Danio rerio: one gene and its partners. The protein of the gene in region 1 purifies or fractionates together with the protein of each later gene. This does not show direct contact. Links are inferred from orthologs where the notes say so. Each region holds a gene or a part of one and is shown on either strand. Other genes may lie near its edges.

The links.
Region 2: the proteins of slc38a9 (region 1) and lamtor1 purify together in Homo sapiens (co-immunoprecipitation; 5 studies listed by BioGRID and IntAct, with this or other methods). This does not show direct contact. The link is inferred for Danio rerio from reciprocal best matches to the Homo sapiens genes SLC38A9 and LAMTOR1.
Region 3: the proteins of slc38a9 (region 1) and lamtor4 purify together in Homo sapiens (affinity purification with mass spectrometry; 4 studies listed by BioGRID and IntAct, with this or other methods). This does not show direct contact. The link is inferred for Danio rerio from reciprocal best matches to the Homo sapiens genes SLC38A9 and LAMTOR4.

What each region holds. Positions count from the first base shown.
Region 1 is NC_133185.1:7,425,292-7,428,947, reverse strand, and holds part of slc38a9 (neutral amino acid transporter 9), read right to left. Parts: intron 2,865-3,656; coding exon 2,801-2,864; intron 2,710-2,800; coding exon 2,616-2,709; intron 606-2,615; coding exon 435-605; intron 310-434; coding exon 253-309; intron 1-252.
Region 2 is NC_133190.1:46,802,619-46,806,747, forward strand, and holds the start of lamtor1 (ragulator complex protein LAMTOR1), read right to left. Parts: upstream 2,918-4,129; 5' UTR 2,735-2,917; coding exon 2,693-2,734; intron 138-2,692; coding exon 1-137. UniProt on the Homo sapiens protein: Key component of the Ragulator complex, a multiprotein complex involved in amino acid sensing and activation of mTORC1, a signaling complex promoting cell growth in response to growth factors, energy levels, and amino acids.
Region 3 is NC_133179.1:20,644,750-20,648,838, reverse strand, and holds the start of lamtor4 (ragulator complex protein LAMTOR4), read right to left. Parts: upstream 2,918-4,089; 5' UTR 2,858-2,917; coding exon 2,855-2,857; intron 2,705-2,854; coding exon of another isoform or gene 2,669-2,704; coding exon 2,588-2,668; intron 1,244-2,587; coding exon 1,126-1,243; intron 529-1,125; coding exon 431-528; 3' UTR 1-430. Other genes in the region: atp6v1f (V-type proton ATPase subunit F), read left to right, coding at 3,321-3,478. UniProt on the Homo sapiens protein: As part of the Ragulator complex it is involved in amino acid sensing and activation of mTORC1, a signaling complex promoting cell growth in response to growth factors, energy levels, and amino acids.

The DNA.
Region 1 (3,656 bases):
CGATGTGTAATTACACTTTTTGAAAGGTGCACGTCAGCGACGCCAACGGCCACGGCGTAGGGCTATGCATTAACGCCGTAGCATACACGTGCTCTTGATGCAGAAGTATAAATCAGCCTCAAGTCAGAGCAATTAATAAATCAAGCCATTTGGATTGTGTTGAGTATCTTTGACCATGTAATGTAAATGATTATGCTTACAACTTCAGACTATTTTATACTAATAATGATAATAATAATAATGACTGCTCACCTCTCTCAGTTCCATTTGTGCCAAATGCATCTGATGTGTTGACATTGTGAACATAGTCTGTAAATGCAAAATATATAAAAGGTTATTCAGAAAAACAATTAAAAGGTTATTCAGAAAAACAATATTAGAATTCTAATTGGCAGTAAAACAAATGAGAAAGGGCAGGAAAAACAGTCACGTACTGAAAATGAATTTTCCCGTATTGAACAGGAAGTTAGACATGAGCACCCAGTAGACCACCATTGCACCAATCAGTGACACCAACGAGAAGACGAGACTGGACCATTTTCCGAAACCCCCAAAGTAATATTTACACACATCAGGAAACTCCCAGTCTGAGGTATCTACATAAGCTGCAAAGACACAGAGTTTCATATTTAAAAAAAACTTCATGTTAACTCTGGCATGACATATGAAAAAAAGACAAGCAAAAATGACATACAGTTAAAGTCAGAATTATAAGCCCCCTTTGAATTTTTTATTTTATTTTTTTGCTTTTTTAAATATTTCCCAAATTATGTTTAACAGAGCAAAGACATTTTCACAATTTTTCTGATAATATTTTTTTCTTCTAAAAAAAGTATTATTTGGTTTATTTTGGCTAGAATAAAAGCAGCTGTAAATTTTTTAAAAACAATTGTAAAGTCAATATTATTAGCCCCATTAAGCAATATATTTTTTCGATAGTCAACAGAACAAACCATCATTATAAAATAACTTGCTTAATTACCCTAACCTGTCTAGTTAACCTAATTAACCTAGTTAAGCCTTTAAATGTCACTTTAAGCTGTATAGAAGTGTCTTGAAAAATATCTAGTCAAATATTATTTACTGTCATCATGGCAAAGATAAAATAAATCAGTTATAAGAAATGAGTTATTAAAACTATTATGTGTAGAAAAGTGCTGAAGGAATCTCTTCGTTAAACAGAAATTGAGGATAAAATAAACAGGGGGGAGGCTTATAAATCTGTTTTAACAGTATGTTAATGTGTGTGTACAGTTAAAGTAAAACAAAAAAAATAGAGAGAGAGAGAGAGAGAGAGAGACATTGTTTGTTGTGTCTTTATAGATACATTAGTAGAATTGGTAAAATTGATTATGATGACTCTGTTAACATTTATTTTTAAGCATAAGCTTCATAGAAAAAACTTTAAACAGGTTTAAAACCGGTTTCTTTCCTTTGATCATGTTGATTATTCAGAGGCCTTAGAAATGTCCTTATCAAATCAGATAAAGTAGAAAGGATTGCAGAGGTAAACAAACCCCTCAAGAGTAATACACAACCACAATAGAGTGGAGGAACTATGACGTCAATTTGTAGGCAAAAATCCGGAAGCGAGTTAGCATTCTAGCAGTTCTGGTTGCCTCGTCCCAAAGTCGATGTTTTTTTTTTTCAATGGGATTTTGATTAAAAATCTCTTAAATGAGGTTGGTGGCTAACACAAACTTAAGATACTTTCACATTTTATTCTACGACATAACACATCAGTTGCATCACAGTCTTGATTTATTTATTTATTTATTTTTAAATCGGGACGCTTCTTTAAAAAGACGGTTGTTATCAAGTTGTGAAATGGGACTTCAGGAGATGTTGGAGACATTATACACTATTGAGCTGAACTGGTCTGAAACGCAGCCCGCTTGCATTAGACAATTGCATTTGTTTTGTTTCTTTAATGAATAGTTTGTAGTATTTTTCTTATTGGGAATTCACTTGTAGAGACCGTCACGTCAGATTCATTTGTTGATCATTTATTTTAATTAAACAATTTTATTAAGATACTGCTTACAGGGCAGCTTGTCTCTTTTCTGCTCTGATTAATGCAAATGTGTGAATAAATTAGTAAACATACACACATATTACCTGTCATTTTAACGTGATCAAGTGATTTTTCGAAGTTTTTTTCTTCATCTAAACACATTTAACTCTGTCATAACTGTAATATTTACACTCCTCCTTAACACGTATAAAAGATGTGACTGTATGGGCTGCTTTTCACTGTACTTTGTGACAAAAAATATTAAATGTGGTTCTGTGTCCATGATGGAACTTGCAGGCATATAGACTTATCCCTCACGACTCATAAGCTGGTCTTACTAAAGACGACAGAAATGTGTAAATGACATTTGTTTGACTTAAAAAAAAAAAGTAAGAAGAAACACTGGATTTGAACCTGGGTCACACTGTTCATCTAACAAAACAATACTATCTCCGTCAAAAAAAACAAAACAAAAAATAAAAATAAATAAATATCAGCTAAACTGGGAATGTTAACATTATAAATGAACGTGTTTAAGAGCTACACTGAATCACTCATGTATTGTGCGAAAAATGTACAAGCATGGTTGCAATTGGCTTACGAATTGATTTTGTGGACTTCAACACTCTGTAGCAGCAATAGAGCGTCAACAGGCCCATAAGAACAATAATGATAATGCCCAATGTAAAACCAGCCTAGAAAGAGAACAAATAAATTATAATAAATTACCTTTATTGTATAACTGGCAATGACCAAAGGAAATATAGGAGAGAAATATACACCTACTTGTTTTATTCCCCATGGTATACTTAATATAGATGTTCCCATCATGGTGTTCCATATGGCAAAGCTGTATACACACACAAGCACTCATTTAAACAAAGGTTTAATAACTTTAACATGGAAATGACAAATGCAATCTCTCTTGACTAAATAATTTGTAGGATTTAAAATTATGTAACACTTTGAAGAAAAAAAAATTATATATATATATAGGCGAGGCAGTGGCCCAGGGATGCTCATAATAACAGATTCATCATTAAACAAAAAGGTGCCTTTTGAATCCATAAATGAAATCAGTTAAACGATTAAAAAATAATTATATAAATATATACACATACACACACACACACACACACACACACACACACACACACACACACACACACACACACACACACACACACACACACACACACACACACACGCATACATACAGGGTGGGCCATTTATATGGATACACATATAAATAAGGAATAACATAAACTGGGAATGATTGCTGTTATTAACATCCTGTTTGTGGCACATTAGTACATGTGAGGGGGCAAACTTTTCATGATGGATGGTGACCATGGTGACCATTTTGAAGTCGGCCATCTTGGATCCAATTTTTGTTTTTTCAATAGGAAAAAAACTTTTTATTAATTTTCTTTATCCATATAAATGGCCCATATAACGTGTGTGTGTGTGCGTGTGTGTGTGTGTGTGTGTGTGTGTGTGTGTATGTATGTATATAAATTAAGTCATACTTTATTTTAAAGGTTAAATTCTCACTGTTACCAAAGCATTAACAGTTTTTGCCTGAAACTCCTAATCTGCTGCTTATTAACAGGTATTGGGTTTAAGTATTGGGTAGGAATAA
Region 2 (4,129 bases), on another chromosome or scaffold:
CGCTGCAGGATGACCGTGAGCAGGGCTTGTTCGTCTGTGCGGTTGGACGGCAGATTGTCTGCATTTCGCTCTGAGCCATTAGTGGGTTTTCTTTCTTGGTTTGGGTCAGGAATCAGTGGCTTCACCTCATCTCCATCCTGCAGGACCAAAACATCAACACATCCTGTTCAAACACCCAGAAAGACCACTTTATTTTCATGTAAGCTAACAGGCTGCATTCACGCTGCAGATCTTGATGGTCAATTGCGATTTTGTGACTGTATCTGATTTTTTTGATGACCTGCTTACATCATTAATTAAAAGGGACTCGTATCCGATTGTCTGCATTTACACAGTACACAGCAAAGGCGCAATGACCAGGAAAAATAATTAAATTAAATAAAAATAGAAAAAAAGAGTGGGCGATATCCCAATATAAAAATAAATCATAAATACTCCTCATACTTTCGTACAACTGTTATAAATACTCCCAGACCTGAAAATCCACTAATACATTCAACTTTTCCATCATTGAGAAAACCCTTAATACTACATATCCCCAAACATTAACATTAGGACATGTCAGATCTGACACATTAGATCCAAATCCAACACAATTTACGACAAATCCCACAGAAACACCAGCTTTAGTTCATTAAAAAAACACACGTTGATGATCAAATATACATAAAAAAAGTAGCGTAACTGGAATAATTTTGACGCAGTTTTGACAAACACTCAGCATTGAGCTGTTCTTGAATCATAAACACACAACTGTATTAAAAATGTGTCGTAAGTAAATGTTGTTGCAGGACTACAGACGCTACATTAAGCTGCATTATTAGTGTTTTGGGTATTTGTCTGTACTGGACAGCATAACACCAACTTTTAGTGCAAACCCTACAATATTTAGACATTTTAATTTAAAACATTTTCACGTTTGGCTTCAGTTTATTATTTAAAACCAACTAAAATCATAACTGCATTAAACTGTATTAAAAGTGTGTCGTAAGTAAATGTTGTTGCAGAACTACAGACGCTACATTAAGCTGCATTATTATTGGTATTTTAAGTTATTTTTCAGCATTGGACAGCATAAAACTAACTTTTAGTGTAAATCCAACAAAATTTGCACATTTTAATTTAAAAACCTTTTCACGATTGGCTTAATTAATTTTTTTTTTTTAGCTCACTAAAATCAGAAATACTCCTCATATTTTCGTACAACTATTATAAAAACTCCCAGGCCTAAAATCCACTAATACAGTGGTTCTCAAACTGTGGTACGTGTACCACTAGCGGTACGCAGGCTTCCTTCTAATGGTACGCAGAGGAATCCTACATGTCACGTACAAGCAACATATATTTCAAAATTTATCAAAAATGGTTTGAATATGAATATGATGACATATAGCCTATTTATGAGGTCCAAGCAACATTTCCAGGTTTTGATAAATAGGACTTTACATTTAAGTACAGCAGTTTTTTTCTATTTAAGGACAGTAACCTACCATTTTTATTAAACCTTTAAAAGCACATTAATTTAAACGTTAACATTAATTTTTTTGTTTGTTTGTTTACATATAAGCAGAGTACAGTCTTAATGTTACTATTTATAATGTTTAAAGTGGCTTATAATAATAAATATCCTTAATAGTAGTAGTTATTTTACCACGTTATTAAACTGTGCAGAGCTGCAGCTGTTTTACTGGGCCTACTACGCTACTGTATTTCAATACCGGTCATTATGGTGGTACTTGGAGGAACAATCTTTTCTGAGGTGGTACTTGATGAAAAAAGTTTGAGAATTACTGCACTAATATATTTAACTATTCCATCATTGTGGAAACCCTAACACTACATTTCCCCAAACATTAGCATTAGCACATGTCAGATCTGACACATTAGATCCAAATCCAACACAAAACTCTCAATTTAAGACTATTTCCACCGAAACACCAGCTTCAGTTCATTACAAACACACGCTTATGATATAATATACATAAATAAAGTAGCGTTAGTGGATTAAGTTTGTTGTAGTTTTGACAAACACTCAGTATTGAGCTGTTCTTGAATCACAAACACACAACTGTATTAAAAGTGTGTCGTAAGTAAATGTTGTTGCAGGACTACAGACACTACATTAAGCTGCATTATTATTGGTATTTTAAGTTATTTTTCAGCATTGGACAGCATAAAACTAACTTTTAGTGTAAATCCAACAAAATTTGCACATTTTAATTTAATAAACCTTTTCACGATTGGCTTAATTTTTTTTCTTTTTCACTCAATAAAATCATAAATACTCCCCATATTTTCGTACAACTGTTATAAAAACTCCCAGGCCTAAAATGCACTAATATATTTAACTTTTCCATCATTGTGGAAACCCTAACACTACATTTCCCCAAACATTAGCATTAGCACATGTCAGATCTGACACATTAGACCCACATCCAACACAAAACTCCCAATTTAAGACTAACTCCACCGAAACACCAGCTTCAGTTCATTACAAACACACGTTAATGATCAAATATACATAAATAAAGTAGCGTTAGTGGATTAAGTTTGTTGTAGTTTTGACAAGCACTCAGTATTGAGCTGTTCTTGAATCACAAACACACAACTGTATTGAAAGTGTGTCGTTAGTAAATGTTGTTGCAGGACTACAGACGCTACATTAAGCTGCATTATTAGTGTTTTGAGTTACCGGATCCGTCGTCTCGCTGTCGCTGCTGAAACAGCACCCCATGATGGCCGCCCAGCGGGTTCAGTATCCTGAATTTGGGTTTTTTATTCGTCTCAGGAGCGTTTTTGAGGTTGTGTTTGCCTCTTGGCTGTGAAGAGATTTGCTGCAAACGCAGAAACCATCACATGACAGCACTCCCAATCGTGTCACGTGTCTTCCGTCTCCACACTGGCACGTCAGTTCCGCCCCAAAAACCCGTTAAAAACCTTCATAGATATATACATTAGATGTCGCCTGGCCTATTGTTGTCTATTGGACGGAATGCGTCAATAGCGCCGCCATCTTGCTACAGGGTAGCGCTCCTTTGAAATGAATGCAGGACCAAGGTACAGTGGAGGACTGTGGCCATCCAAAGCCAGAGATATACACATATATCTATGATCGGGAGTTTTCCTGGATGTTGTATGTAATTTTTTTTTTCTAATTACGAAAATTATAATTTTACATCACATTCCTGACAAAAAGCTTGTGTTTGTGTGTACAGAAATGTACTATCCACCCTCCCTGTTAAATTTGATCTAATCATGTCCTGAAACACAGCTCCTCTCCTGCTTTCACTTCTCATACTGACGGAGCGGGAGCGAGTTGGAGCTGCTTTGCCTTATGGTGAATGCAGTAAGTCACTGTTTTCATCAATAACGTTACCTGATTAGCACAAAAGTTCAGAACATACAAAAACAGAAAAAACTTTTTATTACCTATGGAATGTTCTGCCTTTGTGCTTTGTTTTCTGTTTTGCTCGCTAAAGTCCCGCATCTTCACGTAATAACACTGACTTGACTAGTGCGGTTGAATGACATTTGTACTGGGAGCACTGTACCAATGTGGCGGCGCTATTGACGCATGCTCAGGGTCCCTATGCGATATCTAGTGTGTGTATGTATGTATATATGGAATGTATATATGTATGTATATATATGTATGTATATATATGTATATATATGTATATATATATATGTATGAAAAACCTTTAGGAAACCTTTATGAAAAACCTTTAAGAAACATCATGCTTTTTTTTTTTTTTTTTTTTTGCAATAATAACAGTACTTTACAACAAATACAGATACAAAACTGAAAGTATGGTACAATCAATAGAAATATTACTTTTTGAAAAAGTGGAATGTAACAAATTTAGAACAAATATAATATAGGTAAATCAAAATAAAGACAACGAGAGAGAGAGAGAGAGAGAGAGAGAGAGAGAGAGAGAGAGAGAGAGAGAGAGAAATAATAATAATAATTAAGGGCACATGACAAAGATTAAACAAATTATTGCAGGATATTAAATAAAGCACATATTTTATAAGTTTTAATAGCTTTCTTATTGTGAGAGTCTGTGATGGGTTTTTTTTTAAATAAAGAGCTAGTTCTCGTTTAAAAAAAAAAAAAAAAATAGGC
Region 3 (4,089 bases), on another chromosome or scaffold:
GGCTAATACATCATTTCTGCATAAAATATGATGCAATGAATCCTTTAATCTATAGCTTAATGGATTATTGGAGTTAAATGTTAATGCAAATCTATAATGATGTCCAGCAATACTATAATTGTGACCACTCAAGTATGAAAGGGACTAAAATATAAAAACAATTTAATCCTGTATCCAAAAAAAAGAAATCAGATGAACCATGTAACATCATAATCTAATAAGAGAAACACATGAACTTACTTTGGCTCAGGTCAAATACACCTGACATCACCAAAAGGCCCCCAAAACATTGCAAAATTTCACCTTAAGAAAGAAAGAGAGTGTGATTGTGCTAAACATCGGGTGGTTGTAAAGACGGGGTCATTTTTATGTGAGGGCACCATTTTGAGCTTGTAATAGTGGGAAAGATCAGTCCATATTATCCTCTTTACTACACGATAACAGGCTCCCGCTGGTTGTTCTGCCTTTTCACTACGAAAACCTTCTGTCCGGAGATGGTCACAGCATAGACGTAGTCTTCAAACATCACTGACATCAGACAAAAAAGGAAAGAAAAAAATATACATTAATATCAGTATTTGTTTGGAAGTTATGGATTTTCACAGCAAGTAAAAATGATTTACTGTAAAATAGTAAATGATCATATATCAATTATTTCTTATTGAATAAATTTAATTAAAACAACAAATTAAAGAGGGTTATTTTATTTTATTAGGGCTATTTTGTTCCTAAACAAAATCAAGAGGATAAAAAAAGACTTAAAATGGTTACACATGAAACCATAAAAACTAATAAAACCTTTTTTTTTTTAAACAGACCTATTTAAAAACACAACTGATAGAAATACATAACAAAATTGCTTAAACTTTAAATAGAAAAAACACAAAATGTAAAGATAAAAACTATTTCAAACTGTAAAAATATCTGGATAATACTTAAACCTAATGTTACAAATAAACACTAATACTACAGTGATATCTGAATATTACATAAACCTGATGTTACACAAGCATGTTTACTTTAATAATTCACATCACATTTTTTGAAAATTAAATGACAAAATATGAGTGAAATATTGTTCTATCATCATTCAGCATTTATCTAAAAATGAAGTGCGTTTCTTACCAGACATGCGCTTGAATGGGGGCTCTGCAGTCCCATGTAATCTGAAGCGACAAGCTGTTCGGACCATCTGCATGATCACTCCTGCTGTGTGCTCGTCATTCTCCAGCTCTCCTGCCGACTGTAGATTACAAAAAACATTCACTTACTGCTTAACTGAGACAAGTGGAGTCATTATTAATCCCCCTATGATATTTTCTTTTTTAAATATTTCCCAAATTATGTTTAATAGAGCAAGGACATTTTCACATTATTTCATATAATATTGTTTCCTCTGGAGAAAGTCTTATTTGTTTTATTTTGGCCAGAATAAAAGCAGCTTTTCATACCATTTTAACTCAATTATTATTACCCCCCCCCCCCCAAGCAATATATTTTTTTAACTTGTCTACAGAACAAATTATTGTTAATTAAATTACTAATTAAACTAAGTATCTTCCTTAACCTAATTAACCCAATTAAGCCTTTAAATTGAACTTGAAGCTGAATACTATTATCCTGAAAAATATGTAGTAAAATAGTATGTACTGTCATCATGGCGAAGATAAAAGAAATTCATTAGTTATTCAATCTATTATGTTTAGAAAAGTGTTGAAAAAAAATCTCTCTGTAAAACAGAAATTGGGGAAAAATATAAAAGATTTAAAATTAAACAGCAAGGCTAATAATTCTGACTCAACTGTAAATGATAAATTGATTATATGATTAAAACATAGAACCTATCGAATATATAGAAAGAGACAGAGAGAGAGATAACCCCTTGAGCCAGGTGTGTCCAACAGACAGACAGACAGACAGACAGACAGATAGATAGATACAGTTAAAGGCACAATTATTGGCAATAAATAAATATTTTCCTTTTTTAATTTATTTTCATGAAGGCTGTTCAAAAGGAAGAAGATTTCTCAACACATTTTTAAAAATAATAGTTGTAATATATATATTTTTTAACAGAATCTGTCTTTGCCATGATAACACTGCATAATATTTTGCTAGTTATTTTACAAGATATTAGAATTCATCTTAATGAGTAACTTAAAGGCTTAACTTGGTTAATAAGTTTAACTAGGCAAGTCATTGAATACCATTATTTTGTTCTAAGGGCCTATTAACCTATTAAAATTGTTATTTTTTTATTTAAAAACTGCTTTTATTCCAGACAAAATAAAAGAAATAAAAAATTTTCTCAAGAATAAAAATATTATAGAAAATACTGTGAAAATGTCATTGCTCAGTTCATCATAACTTGGGAATTTTTTTTTAAATAATATGTATCAGTAGAGGCGTAATAATTTTGCCTCAAAGTGTAGACAGGCAAACAGAGACAGACAGAACAATAAGACTGACAGACATTGAATTCTAATTAATTATTTCTCATTTGCCCAAATCAGGATTCTCTTTTCAACGCATTTCACCCTCATGTCAAGTTCTCCGAAAATGTAAGTTATGAATTTTAACAGCTTACCGCGAGTACTCCGTCTTCACTAATAACCAAGTACCCAAGTTGATCGGGTATTCTCTCCAAGCCTTGAGTCAAAGCAGTAGTCTGACATTCAACACACGATAATACTGTAATTAAACACTAACAGAGCTCATATGATATTAGACTGCATCATCAATCACATTATTTACAAAATCTTTGTTTTATAAGTTCTAAATGCACTAAAACAAAACATTTAATAAAAAAAACATTTAATTAAACAAATATTTTAAAGGTAAGAATTATATTTACCATTTTAGACAGTGCAGATAAATGTACACTGCTGTTTTCCTTCACACCCCGCCTCACGTGACTGACATCAAGCGTCGCGTGTTTATAACGTCATTCCAGGAGATGTTTTGCTTATTCGACATTATTTTTGTTTATATGCATTGGAAACGTACAAAATGTGATAAAAAATCTTAGTATGACTAAAACGTGGCGGATTTTTATTTAATTTGCTAGGATTTATGCGCTGTTCTCGCATTTAACAAAAAATAATCTGTATCAGGATCAGATTCGCTGTCATAATCACCGCACACAGGTCGGTCGTTAACGCGAGCAGCACAGATCTCAGATCAGCTAAATAAGGCGCTTACGCGACTACGCAAAGCGGAAGTGAAGTGGTCAGCTGATTAAAGCATATGATCCTGCTGAACGGAAAACATTTCGTCCATTCTGCGTCTTTTATTTGAGCAAAATATAAGACAAAGTCACGATGCCCGGACGAGGAAAATTAATCGCAGTTATCGGTGATGAAGACACGTGCACCGGATTTCTCCTCGGAGGGATCGGAGAGCTCAATAAAAACCGTAAACCCAATTTCTTGGTGGTGGAGAAGGAAACCAGCGTTACAGAGATAGAGGAGACCTTCAAGTAAGTGACACGATCCTAAATGTCTGAATGACTCAACATCATATATTACAATCTAATTATCAAATATGTGTCATTACAAATATATGGATGAAGACTTGCTTTTTAAAAAAATATTTATGTTTATCTATCTATCTATCTATCTATCTATCTATCTATCTATCTATCTATCTATCTATCTATCTATCTATCTATCATATCAGCCAAATATTTTAGAAAAAACATTTATATATAAATTATTTTTATGTAGTAATAATTACCTAAATTTGTCAAGAAACCCACTTAAATGTCTTTTAGTTTAACAATATTTTATATACACCAGTAAACTGTCAATCATATTTGCAAGAAACTATTAAAGACATATCAAACTATTAATATTATGAATTACAGTGCAGCCCCTATTGACAATTGTCATTTAAATATCCTTTGTCACTATTCTTCAAACTACTGATCAATTTTGAATAATTTAAATATAAGAACATGTTTGTCTGATCTCTTCTTATTCTGACGATAGATCATTTTGAGGAATGTAAACAAAAACAAATGTTCCAACGTATTTTCTGTTTTACATTTTTAATTTTTATAGCTTACGAGAATCTAAAAAGAGCCTGCTT